Linked DNA regions of Lonchura striata. The protein of the gene in region 2 purifies or fractionates together with the protein of the main gene of each other region. This does not show direct contact. Links are inferred from orthologs where the notes say so. Each region holds a gene or a part of one and is shown on either strand. Other genes may lie near its edges.

Evidence for each region.
Region 1: the proteins of VCAM1 (region 2) and MSN purify together in Homo sapiens (affinity purification with western blotting; 3 studies listed by BioGRID, with this or other methods). This does not show direct contact. The link is inferred for Lonchura striata from reciprocal best matches to the Homo sapiens genes VCAM1 and MSN.

Annotation. Positions count from the first base shown.
Region 1 is NC_134616.1:6,513,872-6,526,160, forward strand, and holds the start of MSN (moesin), read right to left. Parts: upstream 5,645-12,289; 5' UTR 5,524-5,644; coding exon 5,512-5,523; intron 1-5,511. UniProt on the Homo sapiens protein: Ezrin-radixin-moesin (ERM) family protein that connects the actin cytoskeleton to the plasma membrane and thereby regulates the structure and function of specific domains of the cell cortex.
Region 2 is NC_134611.1:22,921,855-22,934,133, forward strand, and holds the start of VCAM1 (vascular cell adhesion protein 1), read right to left. Parts: upstream 4,373-12,279; 5' UTR 3,739-4,372; coding exon 3,393-3,738; intron 2,713-3,392; coding exon 2,395-2,712; intron 2,171-2,394; coding exon 1,898-2,170; intron 1,278-1,897; coding exon 1,011-1,277; intron 586-1,010; coding exon 319-585; intron 1-318. UniProt on the Homo sapiens protein: Cell adhesion glycoprotein predominantly expressed on the surface of endothelial cells that plays an important role in immune surveillance and inflammation.

The DNA.
Region 1 (12,289 bases), on a different chromosome or scaffold from region 2:
GCTGCAGCCATAATTGTCTCTTGTTAATATAAGGCCCAAACTTCTGCAATTTCAGGTTCTAAACCTCCAAACAGTTGTAGATGATCCTGTCGTCTTATAACCATCAAGACTGCCAGTGACTGTCTCTTCCTACCTCCCCACCATGTATTTGCTTTAAACACTACCTTAGAGTCAGCATTAGCTACAGGACTCAGAAGGGTGGGTTTTATGCCCACAATTTCCAAAACACTTGAATGCTCCACCTAGAAACAGCCACAGGAAAGTTACAAAAAGATGTGCTTGAAAGAGTAGCCTTCCATCAACCTAGAGACTTCAGCCTAGTTTGGAAGTTTCAGATGGGATAAAAACAAACTTAATTCAGTATTATTGGCTGGACTGTGCAAATACCTGCTGTTCCCAAATACCCCTAGGGAAAAGCAAGCGATTAACTGGCTGCTTACTACTGCTCTTAATTTACATCAGTTAATTGCCCTGGATTATTCCTGGGTAGAGAGAGATTTCCTCTTTTCAGCAGCAGACTCCTCGATGAAGTTGGTTTCTGGTATAATCACTGAGCAAACAGACAAAAGGGAAACGGGACACTGGAATGACAGAGATCCAAGGAGTTGAAATCTTGGAGCTCTTTTCAAACAAACGCCATTGTAGTTCTCAGAACAGTGATTAAGCACAGATAACAGCTTTATTGTGCAAATTCAGGGAGGCCCTCTTGCTGCACAGAAGGGGAAAAAAAAAAAAAAAAAAAAAAAAAAAAAGAAATTAAGTCAGCCAAATAAGGTTGCTTGAGCTGCACCGAGCCAGGAAAGAGTCCAGGAGATGACGCAGCCAGAGGAAGCTTTTAGTCAGCTTCCTTCAGAGCCTGGAGCAGGGCCAGAGCCACCTCGGAGGAGGAAGAGGGGCTCCTCTGTGGAGTAGCCGCTGACCAGCAGGGACGTGGCCAGGCCAGCAGGGTGCTGTCCCCAGGCACACCCAGTGTCACAAGCACAAGCTTTTTGAATCCTTTGGTTTCGGTTCATCAGCTGTCTTTCAAGCAGCTACTAGGGACTTAGAGTTTGAGGAGAATTTAGCTTCAGACTAGACATTATACATAAAACTGAACAAAGTTTCCTCTAGAGACAGAGATGCCATTTCCTTTCAAAATAAACGAGTCCATATTAAGACATCTTATGAGCCACCCTCATGAGTAAAGCAAGAATTGTAATGAAACTTCAGGCGTGACTAATTACACAAGGTAGAATCACCCCAAGGAAAGGGCTGCAACGCCCTGAAAAGATGCTTTAAAAAAAGATGCTGCTTGTAGATGTTATGGTGATAGGATATTTGCAAGAAGTGAGCCCCTGATTGGAGACACTCTGTTCCCCGTAGGATTCTTACAGCAGAAGCAGCAGACCTAAAGCTTTCCTGGGGCCCCTTTTATTGGGTACACCTCATTGGGTGCTGCCTCCAGCAACAAATCAAGAGGGCAAAAATTAAATAAAGGACTCAAGTAAGATGTTTAATCTTCTAAAACCTCTTGTATGACAGTCTATATGTAACATTGTCACCTTGAAGTTTTATGAACTGAATCATGACTACCAATTCAGATCAGGCACTTGGAACAGTTCTTGCTCACAACAGTGTAAAACCACTATAACTAATGGGTTTTGCCCAGACAGGGACAGGGTTTGCCATAAGATGAGAAAGGAAGATTTTACCAGTATGTAAAAACAAAGTGAGTATTTGTTTCTCATCAATAGTATAGTTTTAAATCCCCGTTTAACTTTAATATAGAGGGCCTAAAAGTACCAAACAAGCTTTTACTCAGTCAAGCTTAATTGCTTCACATGACATGAAGTAAAACCTTACTATTCTTGCAGAACCTAGGGACCAAGCTGTTGAATACTATACAAGCTAGGGTGCAAAGGCCTTTCCTGTTTTGCAAAATCCCATGGTAGGAATAAAGCTACAGATAATTCACTGCTTCCTAGTTTCAGTAGTTTACCTGGTTCCACTGTAAACTCAGCATGTTTTAGGTATTGCTGCTTCTGAACTACAAAGTCATCTGAAAATCACCAACAGGAGTGATATTCTGTATAAAGCAAGGTCTTTGGGAGCATTCAAATGCATCTCTTTACATCATATATCTGATGGCATTAGAAGAAACATAATGGATTGAGTTTGCCTAAAAAGTTAAGCACACACGTTAAACTTGGATCAGTGTCACCAAGCTTCCCAAGTTGTACTGAGTGAGGAAAGGAAGAGATAGCCCCAATGTGTCAGTCATGAAATGAGACAGAAGGCATCTAGAATGCTTCTAGAGTTCCTTCATAGCACAATGGGATCAGGAGAAAAGTGCCCATCTACTAAAGTCACAGTTTTCATCACTATCCTTTCCCCCTTCAAGACATGAACGAAATTCCGCAAGAGGAGAAATAAAGAAGACAAATTATCCAAAAAAGTGTAGCCTTCTATTCATAGTTGCCATCTTGTTGCAACATTTGGTAGCAAGTAGCCACAGACACAAGAAACTAATTAACCAGAGGATTCTCCTGATACACACCTCAATCTCTCAGTTATTTTTCTTCTAAACAGAACCCTGAAGTTCAAAGAACAACAGGGGGAAAAAAATCTTCTAGGACCTTTCAAGTCCTGCTGGGAACTAGGACCATCAATTCAAACTACAGACAGGGTTCATAAAGATCCTAATAACTATTGCTATACTCAGCTTCAAACTAAGGTATAATAAACTCTGGACTGGCACCTTTTCCCTTATTACCTTGTAAAACTTTCTGTATTCACAAGCCTAGGTTTGATGAAAGCCCTTTCTCTACAATGTTACCCAGAACAGAACTGCCCAAGTCGTGGTGACAGGACTGTTGAGTGTGCACCTCACATGTGATGAATGCTCCTGTTTCACGTTCAGTGGCCCATCCATTCACAGAGTAAGCACATACATAGGCAAAACAGTCAATGAATCCCAGAATAGAAGCCTTGCATCCACCAGTCACGGAGAAATCAGAGCCTACTCGTGGCAAATAAACAAACTGCACACAACTGGAGGATAGACTTCTCAGAGCTTGCCAACAGCTCAGTTTTAGCACTCAAGTACTTCAACCCTCTGCAGTACAAAGTAGGGGGGGGAATTATATACCCTTTCTGGTGTCTGCTTTAACTGTTCACACTTCACAAACTTTCCAGAACACAAAATGCTTAAACCAGAGTTGTATCACTAGATTAAACCGTGAAGGCTTCCTGTTGAGAGAGTATGGCAAGATCAGCAGGCTGATGCATGATGGACTTTCTACACAGCCTACAAAGCCTCCAGCAACCAAACCCCCCCATTACATGTCACAACAGCAAATCATGTGCACTAGTTCAAAGGTTACCAGAGTTAATCTTGGATTCTTATTAATAGTGCTACACAGCCTAGTGTCACTCATAGCAAATCTCCCATAACAAAATGGAAATCTCCAGCTACATGTGCTAACATTTAGCCTAGCTTGAGGAGGTGTAGAGACTCAGAACTCAACAGGTTTTGCTGCTTAAGCCACGCAGCAGCATGTTTCTGTAAGCCTGGTGAGATGAATGATAAGAGCTACCAACCAAGTAGTTTTGACACAAATGCTTTTCCTGCCCAGCCAGAACTGTTCCCTAGAACATTTCCTCCATCTGTCTTCTTCACAATGGATTTATTTTTGTGATGAAGCCCACATAAACCTACATCTAACTGCCCAGGTTTCACCCACATTTGACCTTGATTTTTTTTTCCTTGACTTAGGAAAGCCTCTTGCGCTTTACTGTTTTGTTAATTAAGCAGCTATTAACAAATCTTAAGCTAGCACAGTAGTAGTCATGTTTATTTCACATGAAGAACTGATTATACAGTTATGCCAGCATATCCTGCTCCTGCAAAACAAAGATCAAGAAATAATGTTTCAAATATTATTTCAGTTGGGTCTGTAACTAGAGCAGATGAGGCAGGAAACCAAAGGCTGATACAGCAGCAGGCCTGCAGCTCTGTACTGCAACAGGCACAGACTCTGGAACCACTCTCTGTAGAGCCTTCAGTGTGCAATACAAAGCATTACACCAAAACACTTGCATTTCTCTATCTGCTCCAGCTTTTAAAAGCTCCAAAAGCAGAACTGCTCTGTCAAAACCAGAACTGCTCTGTCAAAACCAGAAAGCAGCAGACTGAGAAGGTGGATCCAGCCTAGGGTGTGTCTGCGGAGGCTGCAATGAGCACCTCGCAGCCAGCGTTCAGATTCAGCCTGGTGCTGGGAACCCCGCCCCGCAAGCCTCTCTTGTTCAGGATTTCTTGGCCGATCCACGCTAAAAAAAGTCACTCATCACAACTGTAAACTCTCTGGCTAAAAGGTCTCCACTGCATTTTACAGAGATGTCCCCTAACTTGTGTTATTTCTGTTAATCTTACTGAATTTATTACCTGTATGTTAACTTTTTTTGTAAATAAATCTTCATTAATCACTAGTATTTGATAGAAGGCCCTTCTAAAGCCTAAGAAAATACTGTCTTAACCTTGAAGAGGCTGAGAATCGACATCCTTTAAGACGTTGATGTTTAAATAATAATAACCATCATCTAGCTATCCATGCTATCAGAGATGGCATTTAAAACATCAGGAAAATTAGCTGTCAATCAAATAGGTATTCGCTATCTAAAGTAAAAAAAGTAAACTATTAGAAGAAAAGAAAATCACAGTGAATTTCATTTCAACTTCTATTTGCACAGAGGTAAGTTTCTGTTTGGATTTGTCTTTTTCCTCTCCTTTATGTAAACCACAGACTCTTAGCTTAAACATTAGATGTTCTTAGGCCATTTCAGATAATTCCGGTACGGAAACATCCAGAGACTTCCAGCCTGCTCCTTCCTGTTTTATCAATGAAGAGCTGGGACTAATTCTTTCGCTCCAACCAGGAGAAATTAAATGGAAAAACCCCATGCTCCTCATTAGTCACCGAACTCCTGCTGCGAGGCGAGTCAAGTACAGACTTGACTAGACTTTTCTAAAGTACCAAAACCTCTCCAGCCAAGAAATACCTCGAGTCAAGCTGGGACAAGGTTCCCTGGCAACCCGAACTGACTAACTAACTGCAAGTTGTGAAAACCCCAACTTCTCCTCCTCAGGGCGCGCACGAGGCGGCCATGGCAGCGCCCGCTCCCACCAGGCTCCCGGAGCTCGCCCCGCTCCCCCCGGTGCGGCCGCACACGCGGGCGGCGCCGCCGCGCTCCGCCGGACATTTTGGGGCGGAGAGGCGGCCCCGCCGCGCCGAGACCCCGCGGTGCGGGCGCGGCCCCTCGGCCGGGGCAGCACAAGATGGAGGGGCGGGCGGGAAGCTCCGCTCCCCGGGACCCCTCCGTGCTCCTCGCCGCTCCCTCCGGGGCGGCCGCCGCCGGCCGGGGCGCAGCCGAGCGCGGGCGGGAGGAGCCCCCAGGCCGCGCCCGCCCGGCCCCGCGCACCCGCCCGCACCCCGCGGCGGAGCCTCCGCTCTGCCCCGCGCCGGCGGCACGCACCGTTTTCGGCATCTTCCCGGCGGGCTGGGCACGGCCGTCGCTCCTCCTGCGCCGGTGGGGATCCGCACGGGCTCCGCGCTGCTTCTAACGGGACTCCGCGCCGCGCCTCTCCGCCCGGCCAGGCCCCGCCCGGCCCCGCCCGGCCGCCTCCGTGCGGGGCTGGAGCGGCGGCGCCCCCGCCCTGGGAAGGCCGAGCCGGGCGGGCCCTGCGGAGCGGCCCGGGAGGGGCGCGGCCTCGGGGGCTGCGGGGGCTGCGGCGCGCTCCCGTCGGTGCAGGAGCCGAGGGCTTCCAGCGCCCATGAAGTAGTGCCTACACAGCCCCGGTCGCAGAAGTTTATGCGCGGATCGGTGTCATTGGGATTTCTGGTTCTTGATAAAAGCATTATTTAAGAAAATAGCGCTATTTTGTCGGCGACTGTACTGTTCAAAGTAAGACCGCAGCACTGACTTGTGAGCAATGCTTCTGTCCCTTGTTAGCCAGAGCCGCTTGCACACAGGTGCAGCTCAGCGCGCTGCCAGCCCAGCATCCCCGTGCGCTGTTCTGTACAAGATTTTCACAGCCACCTGTTTGATTTAAAAGTACACTTCCAGCTTGTACGGAAAATCACGCTATGATAAGCCAGTCTCTATAAAAGAGTCAGAGGAGTCCTGCAACTTTATTGAAATCAAGGGAGAGAATCCACTGGTACACACACATATCCCCAGGGTTTTTTCTCTCGAGGTTTCAGAGGGCGCAGCCTCCCTTTACCCTGAACTCCCGGCCGCACGTTGCCCTCTTCCTTTCCCCATTGGCTGAGGTATTAGGAAGGCACAGACTTCCCGAACCGCCTACCGCGTATTCCCCCCTTGAACCTGTCATTTTACCCCAAAGTTCAGAAACTCAAGCTTGTGCAGACCCACTTGACTGTTTCAGGATCCAAACTGTCTGGGATCTGCAACAAACCTACTGCTCAAAGTTAGCAGAGACATTAAGACCCATTTCAAAGACTTTAATATCCATACCTTCACCTATCGAATTGTTTGTAGAGACATTAGCATACATCTTCCCTCTCAAGTTCCAGATGCTTCAAAAGCCCAAGGGATTGTGGCTCCCTGAAGCTTGGCAAGTCACATCTGGTCCTCAAGGCTTCTCTAAGGCCACACCCACAATCACAGAATATAAATAAGCAACCAAATTCAAGGATGAAAATAGCAGAGGACCACTGGCAGGCCATCCACCAAAGCTTCTCTTGCCATCTTTGTTTTCCAACCACTGATGGAGGGAATCAAGGGTCACCATTTTCATGGGGATTTAAAGAAGCTGTCTCATCTCATTTGGGACATTGAACACAACTTTCATACAGGAAACTAAGTCCTATTTTCTCCCAGGAAATTAGAAGTCATTCTTTTGAAAGTTAACAGTGTCCAGAAGAAGGAAACTAAATAAATGTAAAGTCTTGTTTTTAAAGAAAATAGGAATATATCATTTTTTTTTCCCCTTGACTTTGTGTCTTATTTTCAAATCTGTTAAACATTTTTGTCTGGCAGGAGATGGAAACAGGGTCCAGGCATTTCATTTGCTTCAGCTGAATATGCAGGTTTCACTTAAACTAGAATCTCTATGCTGTGCCTACATAGGAAAAAACATGAGTATAATTGGATTGATGTAAACTGGTGCAACTTTTCTGCACAGGAATTCACAGGGTGTCTAAGAGGCTATTTTACAAAGTTTTCTTCCTTTTCTGTCTCCTTTTACATTGAGACTTTCTTAGACAAGGGCAAACAAGATTGGTTACACTTATTTCCTACAGAAATAGATACTGACAGAAGACATACAGAACAATAGTCATGTGCTCATGATTTTTTGCCAGGTTTGGATCCAGAAATATTAGGTGTGAGCTTTCTTCCTCAATTCAAGAGATTCTGTGGAGATTTCTTTTATACTAGCAACATATACGATGGGGAGAGGCCAATTCTGCTTCTATTGTAACTTCTATACCAATATTCCTTCATAAGACTTAGGTAACTGGAGAATTCCATCAATCTGTTTGCAAAGGTGATAAAACTTTAGATGACAGGAGTCTAGATATTTCCCTGCCAAATTTAAAGGGCCATAATTTAACATCCAGGGATCTAAAATTTTTCTTCATAGTGCTAATGACAGGAGGGCTAATGAGGCAAGTGAATCCCCATGCCAGTGAAACAATCAGATCCAAAGCAGCTGTATTCCCACTTACATTGTGCCAGGCATTGGCCATGTCCTCAGAAAGTCATAAAACCCCGTGTCAAACAGTCCCAAAGAGTCTGAAGAGCTGAGACAAAGCTTCAGCATAACCTACACTTGTTTCTGACCCCAGAAACTTCTCTTGCCTTTCTTCCCTATTATTCATATCGATAGCCAAAACAAAATACCATTCATGCCACTTTGAAAGACAAGAGTATCCTGTGACAGGCACGTGAATCTCTACACCTCGCTTCCTCTCCAGCTTCTTCTTTCCCCCTTCCCCTTCACTCCCGAGGTAGAGAACAAGACATCTGAAATTTGAACCTCATGGCACTCCAGCCACAGTTCCATGATGAATTCCTGCAAATTCCTGGAGGTGCTGCACCAGGACCTGACCTTCCCTGCAGACCTCTCCTTTAGCAGCTGCTGGGGAGCCATGGTGTCATCCAGCAGCCTTTTGCTGAGCTTTCCCTGCCTGGCCATGTGTGAAGACAACCATATCAGTGGATTCCTTGAGAACTGCAGAGGGGTTACATCTCCCTCTGACTTCAGGGTGAAATTCCAAGGGGGAAAAGCATCAGCTGATTAAAAGTCCTCCTTGCAGAAGGCTGGAGAAATGAGTAACATTACCCAGGGCCTCAAAAATGCTGTTACTCCCATACTGCTCAGCTCGCAAATAATATTAAAGTATTTCAGAATTAGATTAGACCAGGATGACATTAAGCATTCTCCTGGGAAGAGGTCTGGTATTTCACTGGGGATTTATTGTCTTGGTTTTATTTTCATCAAGCCTTTTGTAGTAGCTTCTTTAAAGCAGAAAGAACACATAAATTATTTGTTCTAACATACAGAATTATTTAGCATGAACACTAAACAAGGGGCTGTTTTAACAGCATATGGGTTTTCTGACTAATGAGGAATAACTTGAGTTCCCCATTGCATGGCTTTGACAGAAGATAGAAGCCAAAGGTGTTTCATACTAGAGGTGTATTTCAGAGGGCTGAAATAGTTTGATTCACATAAGTAAAGGAAAGCAAAAAATGAAATTGTTACTGTAGTATGAGAACTGCACCTTCAACACACAGTAGTCCTGGATTGACTCTATTTAAAATGAACAAGTCTGGTTCTGAGGTCTTCTTTGAATAGCAGCTAAACTTCCTTCTCCTGTTCCAACTTTAATGCCGATAGGTTCACAATGAATTGCTGTTGGTGATGATATTGGATCTTTTCAGTGTTTAATTATATTTAGTGGTAAAAAGCATATTTCCTCCCAAAAAAGTACTATCACTCCATTCACACCTTTGCATCTTGAGAATTGGAGTAATCTTGTGCAGTGATTCTCAAGCTGGAAGGATGAGAGGGGTAAAGGGAAAGCACACCACATTCAGGAAGGCAGGATTTGAAAAACCTGGAAATAATTCCATTCACATGCAGCTGCAGTGACAGAGCAGAAGCTGATGGGGCCACTGGATTGGTGAACGCTTTTATCTGATCCCTTTTCCACCTCAAGAAAATGAACTCATTGCAGTATGTGGTCCCAGCTCCTGGCTTGTCCACTCACCAGGGCAGAAATAGATGAAACTGCCTGGAAATCCCAGAGATTTGTGTCTGCCAGATGCTTTGTAAAGCCCTAGTTCCTTATTCCCTCCAGCATATAAATCCCCCACTGGAAGTGACAGCCCTGCAAGGGACATGGAGAAGGCTTTACTAGGAACAATGACTCACTGTATGGCCCACACCACTCATCTCTTCCTGTATATCTGGGGATGTGCTGGGAATATGCTGTTTGTGCAGGGGGAGACTAAAGGGGAGAGTTTCAAACCAGACAAAAGGTGTGCAATGAATGCAATGATCATATGAAAAAAAAATGTAAGAACAACCCATCTGCTAGAATTGTCTCATCTTCATTTTTGCTTTGTTTGTACCATATGGGAGCAAATGTTCATGCTTTCTACATCTTGTACTGCTTGCAGCAAAGTAGGGAACAAAGGAAAATCTAATGGATATTCTGGGACTTTACTCCAAATACTTACAACCCAAATAATAGATACCGTGAAGCACAAAAAAAAAATAATGGGAATTTGTCACACAATTTGTGTGAAAGGTACTGATACTGGCACCTTCTCCTTAGAGCAAGGAGGTGGAGTAAATCCCATTGCTCTGTTCCACTTCAAACCAGTGAAGAAAAATTATTCCTGTGGGTGATGGGAAGAATCAAGGTAGGGCTTTTAATTTTAGAGAAATATATCTAATCTAAAAGGTAACTCCACTGCTATTTATTTTGATAGTTTTGAGGGTGTGATGTATAGCCAAAAGGAAACATGCTTACTCATATGTATTTCTTAGAGGCCATTAAGCATTTACAGTAATCACAGCCAGCTAAAAACATACTGGAAGCAAAATGTAAAACACCTACATTAGCCATTGCATTTTATCCCCTTGAGGCATGTTAAGGAAACTTCCTTATCTGACCATTCAGCAGCCACTCTGGCAGTCACACTCCCACCACCAGAGACTTGAATGCTGGGACCAAAGCCCCTTCTCAACAGGCAGCTCCATGACCTGGTAGGGAGCTCACTTGACTCCCTACACACCCCACTCTCAGACAGTCAGACAAGTTTTCCCTACCAGCTTGACCCCAGGGTTCCCACAGCAGAGTCTCAAGCCTCTGGTTGTTTTAAGTAATTTTATCACGGTACAGCAACAGAATCACAGTTTGTCCTGGTGCCTCCAGGGAGGGACCGTGAACAAAGGACTCCCTGCACTTTTACATCCTCACAGTCTGTGCTGGCATAGCCTGGGATCCTCTGAGTCATGGACTCCTGCTGTGGCTCTGTCTGGTCACCTGGCTGGCACCACCTGACCCTGAGCTCAATCCTCAGCCTGCACTGGAGCCTGCACACTGAGCTACCTGCACTAAATGTATTCCTCAACAGGTACCCACAAAACCTCTGGGACATCCACCAGACCTGTCTTGACCAGCAAAGCCTCACTGTAACAAACCATGATGAAAAAAAAAAAACACTAAATCTCCAAAATCTGACAAAATCTCATGCTCTGCTCTTCATCCGTCTTACTTTCTTAACAGGACAATACAAAGTTTGTAGACATAAAATCTAGCAATTTTTTTTCAGTAGGGCTCAGACTGCCTATAGTTTACGCGCATTACTAATAGGCTTTGCTGAAGAAAGGGAGGAGATTTGGAGTCTTCAGCCAAGATCTTCACAGTTTCAGTGCCCCAAAGAAACAGGCTTTGTGGGAGTTTTCTCCTCTCTTCCCCCTCGCTCCTGCTCTGCCTCCTCAGATGGCTGGTGTGGAGCCAAGATGATGGTACTGGTGTGATGACCATGTAGGGCCACTGCCTTTCTGACTCAGAGGTTGGGAACTTGGAGGCTGTAACAAAGGCCACCAGGCACTTCCTTCCATGGCTTCCAGAGAATGGGAGTGGCCAGTCCAACCTCAGGGGCTGAGAACCAGGCTCCAGATGGTTCTGATACGGGTGACCACTGCATAGGAATCTATATGGAAGTCATCAATTCACACTGGGCTTTTTGAAAGGTATCAACATTTAATAATCAGGACTAACTGTATATAGAATCATTCCTAGATGGTGAAAAGGGCCAAAGAAGGATAAAACCGAGTGTTAATGAGCAAGAACCAGGGAGAAGCCACTTCTGAGAGGGATTTTTCAGGTCATGCAGCTTCACTATTTAAAATTAAGCTTCTGCCAAAGGCATGTGGGTCACCAACACTTGCAATGAGCTATAATAGCAGGAACCTCCAGCTGCAAACAAAATCCAGTTATGACAGCACATAGTGGAAGCAGTAGTGTCCTCTAGATTAGAAACAGAGACTAGCAGATAGCTCTCCTTGGTCCTACAAGCCGTGTCATTGGGTGACTGGGTGGTTTTATATTTCTTTTGACTAGCTATCAAAGTAGTATAATAAGATTTGCTATCTCAGAGGGGGCTGACAAAGTTGACATCTTAACACTTCAGGCAACAAATTCTGTATGTTATGTTAATAGTTTACAAAGAAATACTTCTACATATAATCTCAATTCTTAATTTAAGAGATTAGTTTCCTGGATATTTTTTTTTTGAGCTATCAATGCAAAGAGTTTATTTTTCAAGCCTTTTGTGGTGTTACAGTTGAAGTACTTCAGAGTACTGCTAGTACCAAGAGCCAGAGAGGCAGATAGCAGGACAAGAATAACAGCTGTTTTTCTTGTCCAGGCTCTACACTACATAAAAAGGGAAAAACTGTACAACAGTCTTATTTAAAATCCCACCAACTGCAAAGTTGTAGAACAGATGCAGATTAATATGGAGTCTCATTCTCCATATCTTAATGCTTAATGCACAGTATCTTAATGTCTTAATGCACAGTAATAGTGTAAAATATGCCCCTCTACTTGAAAAGTGTCCATATGCTCATGCTGCATAGGTGTCGAGAACAGCTGGAAAGTCAGGGTCATGTATTTGACATTTTCACTCTGCACACATAGAAATATACCGGGTACCAATGTAGAAACAGTTGTTAAAAAGTTTTTCCACATCCCCATCTTCTCAATCT
Region 2 (12,279 bases):
TTTCCTATGCAGATATCCACTGAGGCCTGCTTGGAAGGATATTTCCTTCCAGGCACTGCATGCCTTCTTTACCTCATGCATTAACTCAGCAGTTGGATGGAGTGATGGAAGCCCCATCAACTTAAGAACTTTTCATAATCAATCTGTACTAAGGCAGACTTCATGCTTCATTGTTTAAAGCTTCCTAAATCACTTAGTGACATTAAGGCCACCTTTTAACTCCATTGACATCAAAGACACAATTACCTCATTCTTCAAGAAGATCTGGACCTAAAATACATAAACCAAAAAACTTGTTTTCTGTCTTGATCTACAAACCTTGAATATATAATTCCACAGCTTTTTCTTCCTTGCCAAATTGATTATAAGCTTCACATTCATAAAGCCCCAGATCTTGACTTTTCAAGTTTGGTATAGTTATAGTTGCATTTTTAGAAATTTTCTCAGACTCTCCAGTGGCCTTCTTTTTCTTCCAGGAGATCACAGGAGATGGATTACCAGAACTAGTACATTTCATTGTCACAGTTTCTCCTTCTTTAAGAGCAGCAGTAGGGAAAACAGTGATCATTGTATTCTTTGGTCCATCTGAAAGGAAGAGTCCTATAGTTAATCATCACTGGATTTTTAAGAGATGGGTCCAACATGTCTTATTGGATACTAGACTGTCACCCCTCCAAAAGCTAATTTCTTTTTAATTCTCAAAACAAAAGTAAAGCACAGGGTATCAGAGTTTCTGTACAAACCCTCCATAGTCTAGACATTCCAACCAAATACTTGTAAACCATGTAGATCAGTTTCTCACTCATTCAGATCTGTACTAAAGACTGTCACCACATTGAAGACTTTGTTATTTTGTTTTGTTCATCAGCACTGCTCTTTTTTAGGGAAAAGCAGAGGACGATGATGATTCTTTGTTCTCACAGAGTTTCGTTTAATTTGATGGTTATATTTATCACTGAAGAACTAAGTAATTATTTATAAAATACTGGGAAAATTTTACACATACTTACATTTCACATTAAGTGTGATTTCACTTTTACTGTTCCCAAATTTATTTTCTGCTACACATTCATAGTCTCCTCCATTTTGGAACATCACAGATGGAAGACGAAGAATATTCCTGGCACTGTAAGACTCTATGTCTGCATTGTCAGATTTTCTCCTTAAAATAATCTTGGGAGGAGGGTTACTTTCAGCAGAACACTGTATGAAAACATTTTCTCCCTCCTGAACTGTTGTAGAAGGTTCAATGGAGAGTTTTGTAATGACTGGAGCACCTGCATGACAAAAGAAAAGGCTGTTAGAATAATGCAAAGGTACAAAAGATGGAGGAAGTTTTAAGAAAGCAGGAATTGCTAGCTCAAGGATCTGTTTATTTTGGTTTTGATCCCAAACTCAATCTAAGACTTTTGGCTCTGTCAAAACAGTAGCAGTCAATCAATCAATAAAAAAATATTACAACAACAATATTATTATGTCCAAAACAGTTTTACCATTAAATGCCTAATGAATTTAATGCTAATGATTAAAACTACTAGTTCAAAGAAGGAGACTTAGGTCCCTGTGATACTGGTATGCACATTACATTTCACAGAAGTAACAGTGTGTGTCCCACCACCTTCTCAGACTCTTTTGTGACTTATAGTGCTGCATTGTGGGGATATGTATTAAAACGTGCATGTACAACAGCAGTACTCAGAGAATTAGCTGAAAATTAGATACAGAAAGAAAAATTACAGTGCATGAGGAACAGCCTTAAATTGAAGCTGAATCCTGAATATGTAGCAAGGAAAGCCCCATATTTTCCTAATTTTCAGTGTTTCAGCATCCTCCAACCTAACAGAGGTCAGCCAGTTAGGAACTGGATAATACAAGTGAAACTCAAACAGATTTGTACCTTGTATAATAATGTCCACAGTTGCTTTCTGTGTTTTATTAGTTACCAGATTAATTACTTCACAGATGTACAGTCCTGAATCATTGAAATGGACATGGGGAATAGAAAGAACATTGTTTTTTATCAGATGCTGAATGTTTTCTTCAGCCAAATATTTACTCCAAACTATTTGTGCTGGTGGGTTACTCTGAGTCACACAAGTGAGGTTCAGAGAGTCTCCTTCCATTGCTGAGTTGCCTGGAGATGCAGTAATGACAGTATTTTGTGGACCAACTGTAAGAGAACAAAAGGAAGAAAAGATCCGTATGTAAATGAAGAATGACATGCACATCTCTAACACTAGCTTTTCTAGAGGTACATGTCACAGAATACCAAGAAAGAAATGAAAAATATGTATGCCAGTAGCACAGTGGAACAATTTTTCCAGACTTAGTAAGATGTTTTGCTTGCAACTTTGAAAGCTAAACTAGCCAAAGCCTTTGTACAAAAATACTTACAATTTGCATTAAGTCTCTGAGAAGATGTTCTTTCTTTGGGCTCAAAATCCATATCAGCAATTGGTAGCCTGGCCACACAGGTAATCTCTTTTCCAGCATCTTCAGCCAGGGGATGAAATGTATATGTCACATTTTTGGTCTCTGTATTTGTGCTGTCATCTTCCAAAAAATATTTCTCATGAAGAACATGTTCATCTTTCTTTAGGAGAACTTCCAGATGATCAGAAGGATATACATCAGGAATTTTACAGATGACAGTGGCTGGTTCTCCAGCAACTAAGGATGGGCTGATCTCAATGATAGGATCACTGGGGAAAGCTAAAAGAATAAAAACAATTTCTTTAGACTAGCAGAAATGAACAGTAGGGTCAACATAAGAGCAAGATCCAGACACCAAATGTCTTGAGTTTAGAGGTGCTCAGAACATGACATTCTATCAACATTATTACAAGACATATCTTGATCTGAAGACCTACAGGTTCTTTATAAGCAGTTCATATACTAACAGGAAGTTTATATGTACAATTGTTGAAACATGACCACAAAAGATCAGTAAGATTCAGTATGGCACCTAGGCAATGATACAACTGCTTAACTATAGGCATTCAGAGAAATCCATACACTAGTGCTATCCTGTTTTCTGTGCTGGTAGGTTTAGACATCTGTATTACTCTGCTGCAAACGATGAAGGCTTTGATTTTTATTCCCCCAGCTCTGGGAATGCATTCAGGCAGTGCATGTTCTGGCTTTCAAGAATTACCAAAATAAGAATAAATAACACTAGTACATACAATCTTCAATGCAGAAAGTTAAGTAGAAATGGTCTAAGAATGTGCCCTGAACAGACGCATAAAGGAATCTCAGAAGGAAGTATATGTTGTGCTATAACACTCATTATCCTAGAATTAAAAGTTAACTGGTAACCACAATATCTAAAACAACTATTGAGTTTCCTATCAATATGTATTATTTAAAGAGAATTTTACATTTTTACTTACAGTAAAGTTCAACTTTGACACTCTTCTCTTTTTTCTCTCTCTCATCACATATGACAGTACAAAGATAAGAATGAGAGTTCACAATGCTAACTGGATTAATAGTCAATGTAGAATATGTCCTGTGGTTGCTGACTTTTCCTCCAAGGGGGCTGTCCATCTGTGTTCTCCAGGAAAAACTTGGTGATGCACAGCCAGTAGTATTGCATGTGAGTATGAGTGCATCTCCAATCTGTGCCACAATTCTCTCAGCAGGTATAATTTCCATTTCAAAAGCTTTAACTACAAAAGGGAAAACACACATCAATTCAGCAGCTTTCTCAACTTTTATCTTCCTATTTCTTCTCATGTTCTACTGTGATATGAGGTCTTTATGCTTCATTTCTTTAATTTATGGTTGTGTGGAAGTTAAACTAATAAAGCTCATACAGTGGTTTACATATTCAAAACAACCCACAATCATTGTTATTTTTGTCAAAGACAATACAGACTCAGATACTGAGTTTTCATGAATAAAACAGCATCAACCAAATATAAATAAATGCATTGGCACAATATAACTTTTTTTGTCAGGTGGATCTGGTTCTAAAACTTTGTAACATTTGAGGGGAGAGGTAGCAGGTAGATAGCAAAGACAACAGCAGAAACACTTTCAACAGGACATTTAGTACCAAACTTGCCTGCTAATGTCAGGAATGAGTAAAATATCAAGCATCCAGTGATATACTGCAGTTGTCTCCTAGACTGTCTTTTAGCAAACTCAATAGGAAAATGACTGAGTCATAGCAGAGCACAGAAAAGCTCAAAGTAAATGTCAAAAAAAAACTTCCTGACATTTTGACAGAGCTACTTAATTGACAGTTGTATCACTGAAATAAAAAGGTAACTGGAGAAAAGAGAAATAAATATCAAACAGCAAATTCTAGGTCAGTTTACATTTAACAAAGTTTAAAAAAATAAAACAAACACCACCAACCCCCACCTTCCCCAACTTACCAGTTCTTAACACACACAAAATTACTATCACAGCCTGGCTTGTTCTTCCCATCTCTTTAAACATTTGTAATTGCTGTTACTGGGTAAAGAGAGTAAATTCAAAAGTTTACTTTCTATTTTCTGTGAAGAAGCGCTGTGAGATCTTGCTGCTCTGCAACAGCTTATTACAAGACCTCCAGCTTGCTCTTTATAAAGGCTCTCTCTCCTTGGTACAGAGTGGGAAATCCCTGGATGGGGAAATCCAGAGCAGGGAGGAAGAGACCCATATCGGGCGGTGTCCGTTGGCTCAGCGCCCTCTGCTGCTTTAGACACAGCCCAGAAAAAATAATAGTAACACTTGTAAATATAGTGTCTACTACATTGGAAAAAATCTGTTTCAGATCTGATCCTGCAAGCAACTGATAAAATGAAAGAATGATTGTAAGTCCAAGTAATTGAATGCAACTGTATCTCAGATAAAAAGTTATTCAAATTTGCTTTTAACAAAAATATTTTTGTTTGGATTGAGTTTTCAGAACCATTCTAACAATGCTCAGCTCTGTAAATAACATTACATGACTCATTATTTCCTTTGAAAACTGTGCTACCAGTTTAAGAGGTGTTGTTACTCATGTTCCTAAGTATTTTTGATCTCTAAAAATGAAGAAATTGCTACAGTGGGTTCTACCATAATATTTTCTTTTTATTATCACCATCTTTTTTTTTTTTTTTTTTTTTTTTTTTTTTTTTTTTTTTGAGGAGAAGGAAAATATGAAGAAGGAGAAGGCAGAGAAGGAGGTAGAGAAGGAGAAGGAGGAGGAAGAACAAAACACTCCTAAGTGTCACAAAATGCGAGCAGAGTACAGTTCTGGAAGTACTGCTATATAATCCAAAAATACAAGAGCTATCCATGATAGGAAATAACACATCTACACAATGTGATTTTGATGCAGAGAAAATGGTCTTGTTGAACGAAAGTGTACTCTCTTACTTAAGTTGCAAATAATTACTTTCAAATCATAGTCAGAGAAAAGCAAGAAATGAAACTCTTCTGCTTGGACTGCTTAAACAATCATCAGAAGCTAAGCTGAAAGGGCAGTATTTCCTTGTTTCTGGGAAGTCAGTTTCTAGACGGAAAAAAAGTTAAACATAGGAGGTGATATCTGCATACTGGAAAAGTTTTAATCAAGCCCTTCATCAGATAACATTAAATAGGAAATAACTCTGATCCTGCTCTCAGTAAATTAAACTGGGCAGCTGCCATTAACTTTACTTGAGCTGGATCCTTACCAGAGGGATTACTATACTGAGTGATCAGACAAATTCAACTCAGACAGTTTAGGTAAGAGCAGAGTTAGCCAATAAATATTACTAAGGGAAGTAAAAATCTGCCAAACAAATTTTAAAAACTTTCTCTTTAAACAACTTCAAATGTAGGCCTTCTATGTATTTTAAATAGAATATGTACATTTCTGTTGCTCCTACTACCCTCAGCATCAACCTCAAAATAGGAAGATGGGCACCAAGTAGGGTTATTTTCAGAACTGTCTGTTCTGTCTGTAAACAAACAGAGATCAGCTGACAAGTTTTAGCACTTGACCTTGAGAGTTCAGATAATCTAGTTTTTTATTCAAACAGCACAGAGGAGGATGCTGGGGGTAAAAATAGAAGATGCATCTACATCCACAGTGAGATAAGTATTATAGTACCAATGGAAAAAATCTTGACATATGCAGAGTGTAATGAGGACTGGAATGAAACAAGTATTACAAGAATATTACTAAATGCAAAAAAGATTAAAATAATTAAGCACTGGGATGTAGCCACATGTTTTTCAGTGCATCTAGTAATCGAAATAGACTTCTAAGGCTTTGATGGACAAACAAAGATAAAACAACTATTCATTGTAAAATGGAGTTTGGAAATATTGAACACAATTTTTGCCCTGGCATAAGAAAACACAAGCGTCATTCAGGAAATTAAAGTTTACATCAGACTTGTCTGGAATTTAAGAAAAGAAACCACTTCAGAACTGTGCTAATTATTTGCTTTAACTCCTACTTCTGCAATCCTATTAAATACCTACATTAGCTTCCTCTAAGCAAAAGAGGTAAGTTCTTGAAATGTTAATGAATTATTTGAACAAAATGCACATTTTCTAACATGTTAGTTTTCCAACGTTTATATACTTTTTCCTGCATTTTTTCCTCCTGTCTCATGGAGGCTATTAGGGGAAAACTGGAAAGCTAACCTTTTGCAGAATCTGGATTCTCAAAACTTTCACCACTGGTTTTGTGATTTTTTGGCCAAGGACCTATGGTGAAGGAAGAGAAATTTCCTCTGTCCTTTTGACAGAGGAAATATAAGAAAAAAGAAGGTAGAAGGAAACTCATCTGATCTGACATTCCGGTGATAGGATGCAGCAAAGTCTGACTCAACAGTTCTTCAGCCTCATATCAAAGAGGTGTTACAGCAAGTCCATACTTAGGTCTCCCATTCAAACTGCAACCCTCACACATCTCAGGAAATATTCTTGGGATGTACACTGGGGATCTGAATAAAGAAAGCCTCGAAGTTTCAGATGCTTTACAGAAGCAGCTGGGATGAAAAGCTTCCATGCAAAGAGAAAGAAAAAGAGCCAGAGGACTGTGCTGTAACTCAAATAAGAACTAATCTCAGAGGGAAAACACACATCAGCAAAGAAGGAATGCCCTTCAGGTACCACATGCAAGGTAGTGCTTTTAATATGGGATAAAGTAACTGAAAAAGCATGAAGCTGGAGGACATGTATGAAGGCAGCTGATTACATGGCTAATACAGCAGAAAATGTTCTGCCAGCCTCAACCTTTTCGTTCTCAGCAACTTCAATAGCTTGCTCTATGGGTTATACACTGTCTTCTTCCCCAGCGCACCTGGATTTTTGGTTCCCAAAGCTTCCCCAAAACATTGCTTCTCCTGACTCCCCTCCACCTGCTTTCTCACCACCTGACAATAATACAATCTCTGTATAGCCCCAAGAGGGGGAGGAGAGCATCACTGACTCCCTATAATTTTCATCTCTGGATGGGAAGGATGAGATCTACATGCATATCTATTTAAAGGGTTGTGTCTGTTTCAGGAACTGTAACTTTGTACCTAACTACAAAAAGAACACCAACGCATTACCCTGTAACCCACATCACACCTCACAATTGTACTCCACATCTAACTTGTCATCTATTGCAAGAAGAAAAAGATAAAGAAACATCTTAAGAAAGTTTTATCATCTGCTTTTTTCCTTTTCTGGAATTTCTTAAATACCGTATGCAAAAAGAAATGCATCTACTTCCTCCATTATCTTTCTCAGGCACCAGCTTTTCCGTTAGGACACTTCCTGTCTGGTTAGTCTGAAGGCAACCAGAATCCACAAAGATGCCAGATAAAACAATACAGAAGTGTGATAATTTGGGTAGACTACAGAATAGCTATTCTCTTATTTTCTTCTATTCAGAAGCATTGTCCACTTCACAGAAAGAACAAAAATTTAATCTAATAATAAATAAAAGCCACTAGAGAAAAAGTCCCTACTTGTTATCTTAGTCTTCTGTTACTGGCAATAAACACACTGTGGAAATTCCAAACTTTATTTCTAAAAAACCAAAAGTATTATTTTAATGGTGCTAGATTTCAAAATTAAACTGTTGGATAGCCTTGAAATCCACATGCTTCAAGTGCCAAATGTTGTATTCCAAGCCAAATTTTATTAGTTTGGATAGCTGAGCTCCCATTGCCTTCATAGTGACATAGGTAAAAAGAAGTTTCCCTCCTGAAATACTATCTAGTGTATAACAAGATTAAAATTCAAATATAAGCCTTGGAGTATTCAAAATCTCTTTGGGAATTCTAGACTAAGATTTCAGATTCACTTTTATTTTGATCTGAATATACCAAGGCATATCAAAATAATTTGTTCTCATTGGAGAAAACGACAAAAAGCCTCAGACAAAACTCATTCAAAATGGACAGAGTGAAAAAATAAAGTGGGCCTTGGGTCAACATGCAGATGATAGCTAGAACTCAGGATATGGCAAGGTAAAGTCAGATGAAAACATTTAAGAAGGAATATGAGGAAGTTACTTAATTCCCCCAGTATTCCACAGGAAATTCTAATACAATTAAATCTTGTTGTGTACTTTATTAAAGCCTGTATTTCATATGGTCAGAAGAAGTTTATCAAGACAGTGGTGGAGAACTTTTTGACCAAGCTTTCTTGTTGCTCACCAGCAGCAGCTCTGCAATACACTTGTTCATCAGTCACTTCCCTGTTTCCCACATCCTTCCTGCTGTTCAGTGATGAGGTACATGGATGTCCCTACGGACCAAGAAAGAAAAAGGGGAACGATGAAAGCAAAATCTGTAACAGACCATTCCACCTTCAAGAAATACTGAACTTGGATCCTCCTACAAAGGCTACTGAAAACTGCATTGCTACTAATGGATTATCCTTCAATTTATCTTCCAGAATATATTAATTTTTATTCTCTTACAATGGTTTATATTCTGAAATACTGTGCTTGGCTGGGTATTTTTGCCGCCTTGTGTTATAGAAATGTTATCTTTTTTGTCCCAGAGTGGACAGGCTAGAAATATTACACAGATGTCAGAAAGTCATTAAATGAATTAACTTTGCAGGACTGAAGATTAATAATTTTTAAATCTTCCATATAGGTAAGGATTACAGGGATCACTCATTTGTTTTTTTTTTTTTTTTTTTTTTTTTTTGTTTGTTTTTTTAAGATACACACAAATGAAATCTCTCTTTTACCTAGATTTCGTCACCTTCCCCTCTCTGGAGGTGGACTGGAAGTCCTGAAGAAACTGACCATCCAAATAGAAACAACTGGGAATGAACTAATTTTTACTTCCATCAAGCCAAAATGACATGTGTTCAAGAGAAACATTTTTCAGTAGCAAAATATGTATGTTTGTGTTCCTGTACACATACTGATAAATCAAGTAATGCTTGAAACCAGCTGCAACTCTATGAACGGCCTGGCACCCTGCTTTTGTCTCTTGAATGTGCTCTACCCTAAATAAAAAACATGCTGTTTTGTCATTTGGACTATTTCCCTCTTTCCTTTTTCTCCCCCCCAAACAGTTAGGCATCACCTCAACTGCTTTGGTTATTAACACTTTCACAAAAGGAATATGACAAAGTAGGAGTGGCTAAGTGATAAAAACCATAAGCAGCTGAATTTTTCTCAGCAGGGTAAGAAAGATGAGAGTTACTGGAATTTATTTCCCCTTCCCAGACAATTACTTGGCTAGGCATCAAAGCCCTGGCCCCTGTAGTCTGATATAGACAACTGAGCAAGAATGACTTTCATAGCTGTGTCACCTTTTATCACAGACCATGTTACTCTCTCATGATAAGAGAGGCAACTTGAGAAATGTGTCACATGTTTGAAATTGCTCTCAGGCAGGATAAAAGTCTGTACTGAATTCGTATGAGAAATACCTGACTTCCAACATTCTGATACTTCTTAGCCAAGGATTTCTCCTGAAATTTCCCAAGAACTGTATGTGAATACCAAATTATAAGTAACAGATGGTTTAATGACCCTCTTGGTTGGAAAATATTGCATTGTTTGACTTAATTTCTTACTATAGTTATCTCCACACCATGAGGAATGGCTATTGGCAGTTCTCTTTTAACAGCTCAGGTACAGGCAAACCTGGAGCTGAATGAAATCACCATTCACTAAGTGAGATGACCATGCAAAAAATGCTAGGGCTTTCACTTGGAAGCTGGGACATCTGCATGGGAAAGGGAACAATTCTGTGCAATCCACAGTTTTCAACAGATAAAGAAGACACAAATGTTTCAAAAGCAGCATTGAATCCTTTTGTGGATCAAGGATCATCCAGTTAAGTTCTCATAGGCTCATGAGCTTGAGATTAATCTTACCTCTGTAGTGCCTTTCAGTACTCAGGATCTCAGCAGCATGGTGACTTGGATCTGCAAGACCATCAGGGTCCAGGCACAGGAACTTCCCAAGATGTATGATGATGAATTCATTAAGAATTTAAGCAAATCATCTTACACCGAGTCCCCTAGATTATTTGAATTAATGTAATACAAACATCTCACACTAAAAATAACACTCTAGGAATTCTCTATTATTGATTTAAAATTGTTTGATATAAACCCATCAGCCTGTAAGTGATCTATTATTACATTTTATTATACTGATTCACCTGCTATGGCACCAAGATCCAGCTGCTGACTTTGCCTTTCTTGCACTCTCGAGTGTATTGTGCCATGACTATTGAATTTTTGTGGCATGAAGAGATTTTCATTCTACCTCTAAGGGCAGCATATGGATCCTGCTGTAGCTCATGGTTTCACAAAATGTGCTGTGACATAGCAAATACAGTCTATCAACAATTTAGGATTTCAGACAATTTAAGAAAATTTGTTTCACTTTATCCTGCATATTGTATTTATTAATGGGATTATTTATTTTAAATATATTTTTCTAATTCATTAATTAGAAAATTAATAAATAATAATTATATTTAAAGATTACTACAAGATTTGCACATTTAACTTAAAGAAGGATAAATTTTCAGGTCAAGTCTACAGTACAGAATGATTGTAAGTATGATGAGAAATTTATCAAAAGGTTGAAAATTAAGCAGTGTATATGTATGTGTTCAAAACTCCATAAATACCCAGGAAGAAAGCAATTACTAAATTAATCTTCACTCTTTACTAGTTCCTACTAGCTCACCATATTCCCTTTTTAATAAAAGAAACAACTACTTTCTAAGTAGCTTCTTTTTAAAGGATTGTACAGTTGATAAATGCTACTAATTTAGACTAAAGCTACAGATGCTTATAAAGATGAATAAATGAGGAGATAACAATCCTGCACAACATTCCTTGTGAAGTTAATTTTGGTTTTGTGAATCACCTGTAAACTTACCTTGATCTTTTATTTTCTTACTCTTCCTAAAAAATCTAATATTTCAATGAATGCATTTCATATCGTGGCTCTAAGCCATTTTCATAAGGATTGCTATAATGTGCCATTTAAGATTCAGTTTATCCTTCCAAGGCTGTTTTAGACAGAAAATTAAAGCAGAAACTCAGACAACCACATTAGTGTTTTGACTGGCAAACACAGTTACCTATGGGACTTAAGCACAAATAGCACTTTTCTGGCACATAGCTGTAAAGCAAACCATTGTGAATAACTGGAAATCCTGTCAGGATCTAATTAGCAGAAATAGGGCATAAAACCAAGAGAGAAGTTGTCTGTGACTTCTTGGTAATCTCATGATTATGGAGTGACATCAGTTACAACAATTTCATAGTAACTCCTTAAAGTAAGTAAGGATTAAACACAGGGCAAGCCTAACTTGATATGTGATTGGAACTTCAGTTTCACCTTGGCTGTAATAGCTGGCTGTGTCTCAAAAGCAAGACCTCTACATTATTCAGAGGGCTCTCTGGAGCTCATGGAATGTCAGGGGCCTGCAGGGAAAGCGAGTGTAGCCTGGATTGTCACGTCTGGGTTTACAACACACAGAAGTGTTCAGGAACAGTGAGAGCAGCTTGATGCTTCCCATATGAATATGCAGGAACTACCCAGGAAGCTTTAAAATCTTGCTGTTAAAGAGAAATGAAATCTGCCAATGTAACAGTGCTTTACAGAGACATAAATTCCACAAGTTCTTCTCTGAGAAACTTACTAGTCAAGGTATGCATGAATGTCAGACTCTGTCACAAATGCATTTGTAGAATATTCAGGGTCCACATATTAAGAGGCTATTTGAAAGAATGTTAAAACAATTTATTTTATCATGAGTTCTTTCTATGTTAAAACTTAAAATCTTTCTTAAAAAACCAGGAATCATTTACAATTGCTCC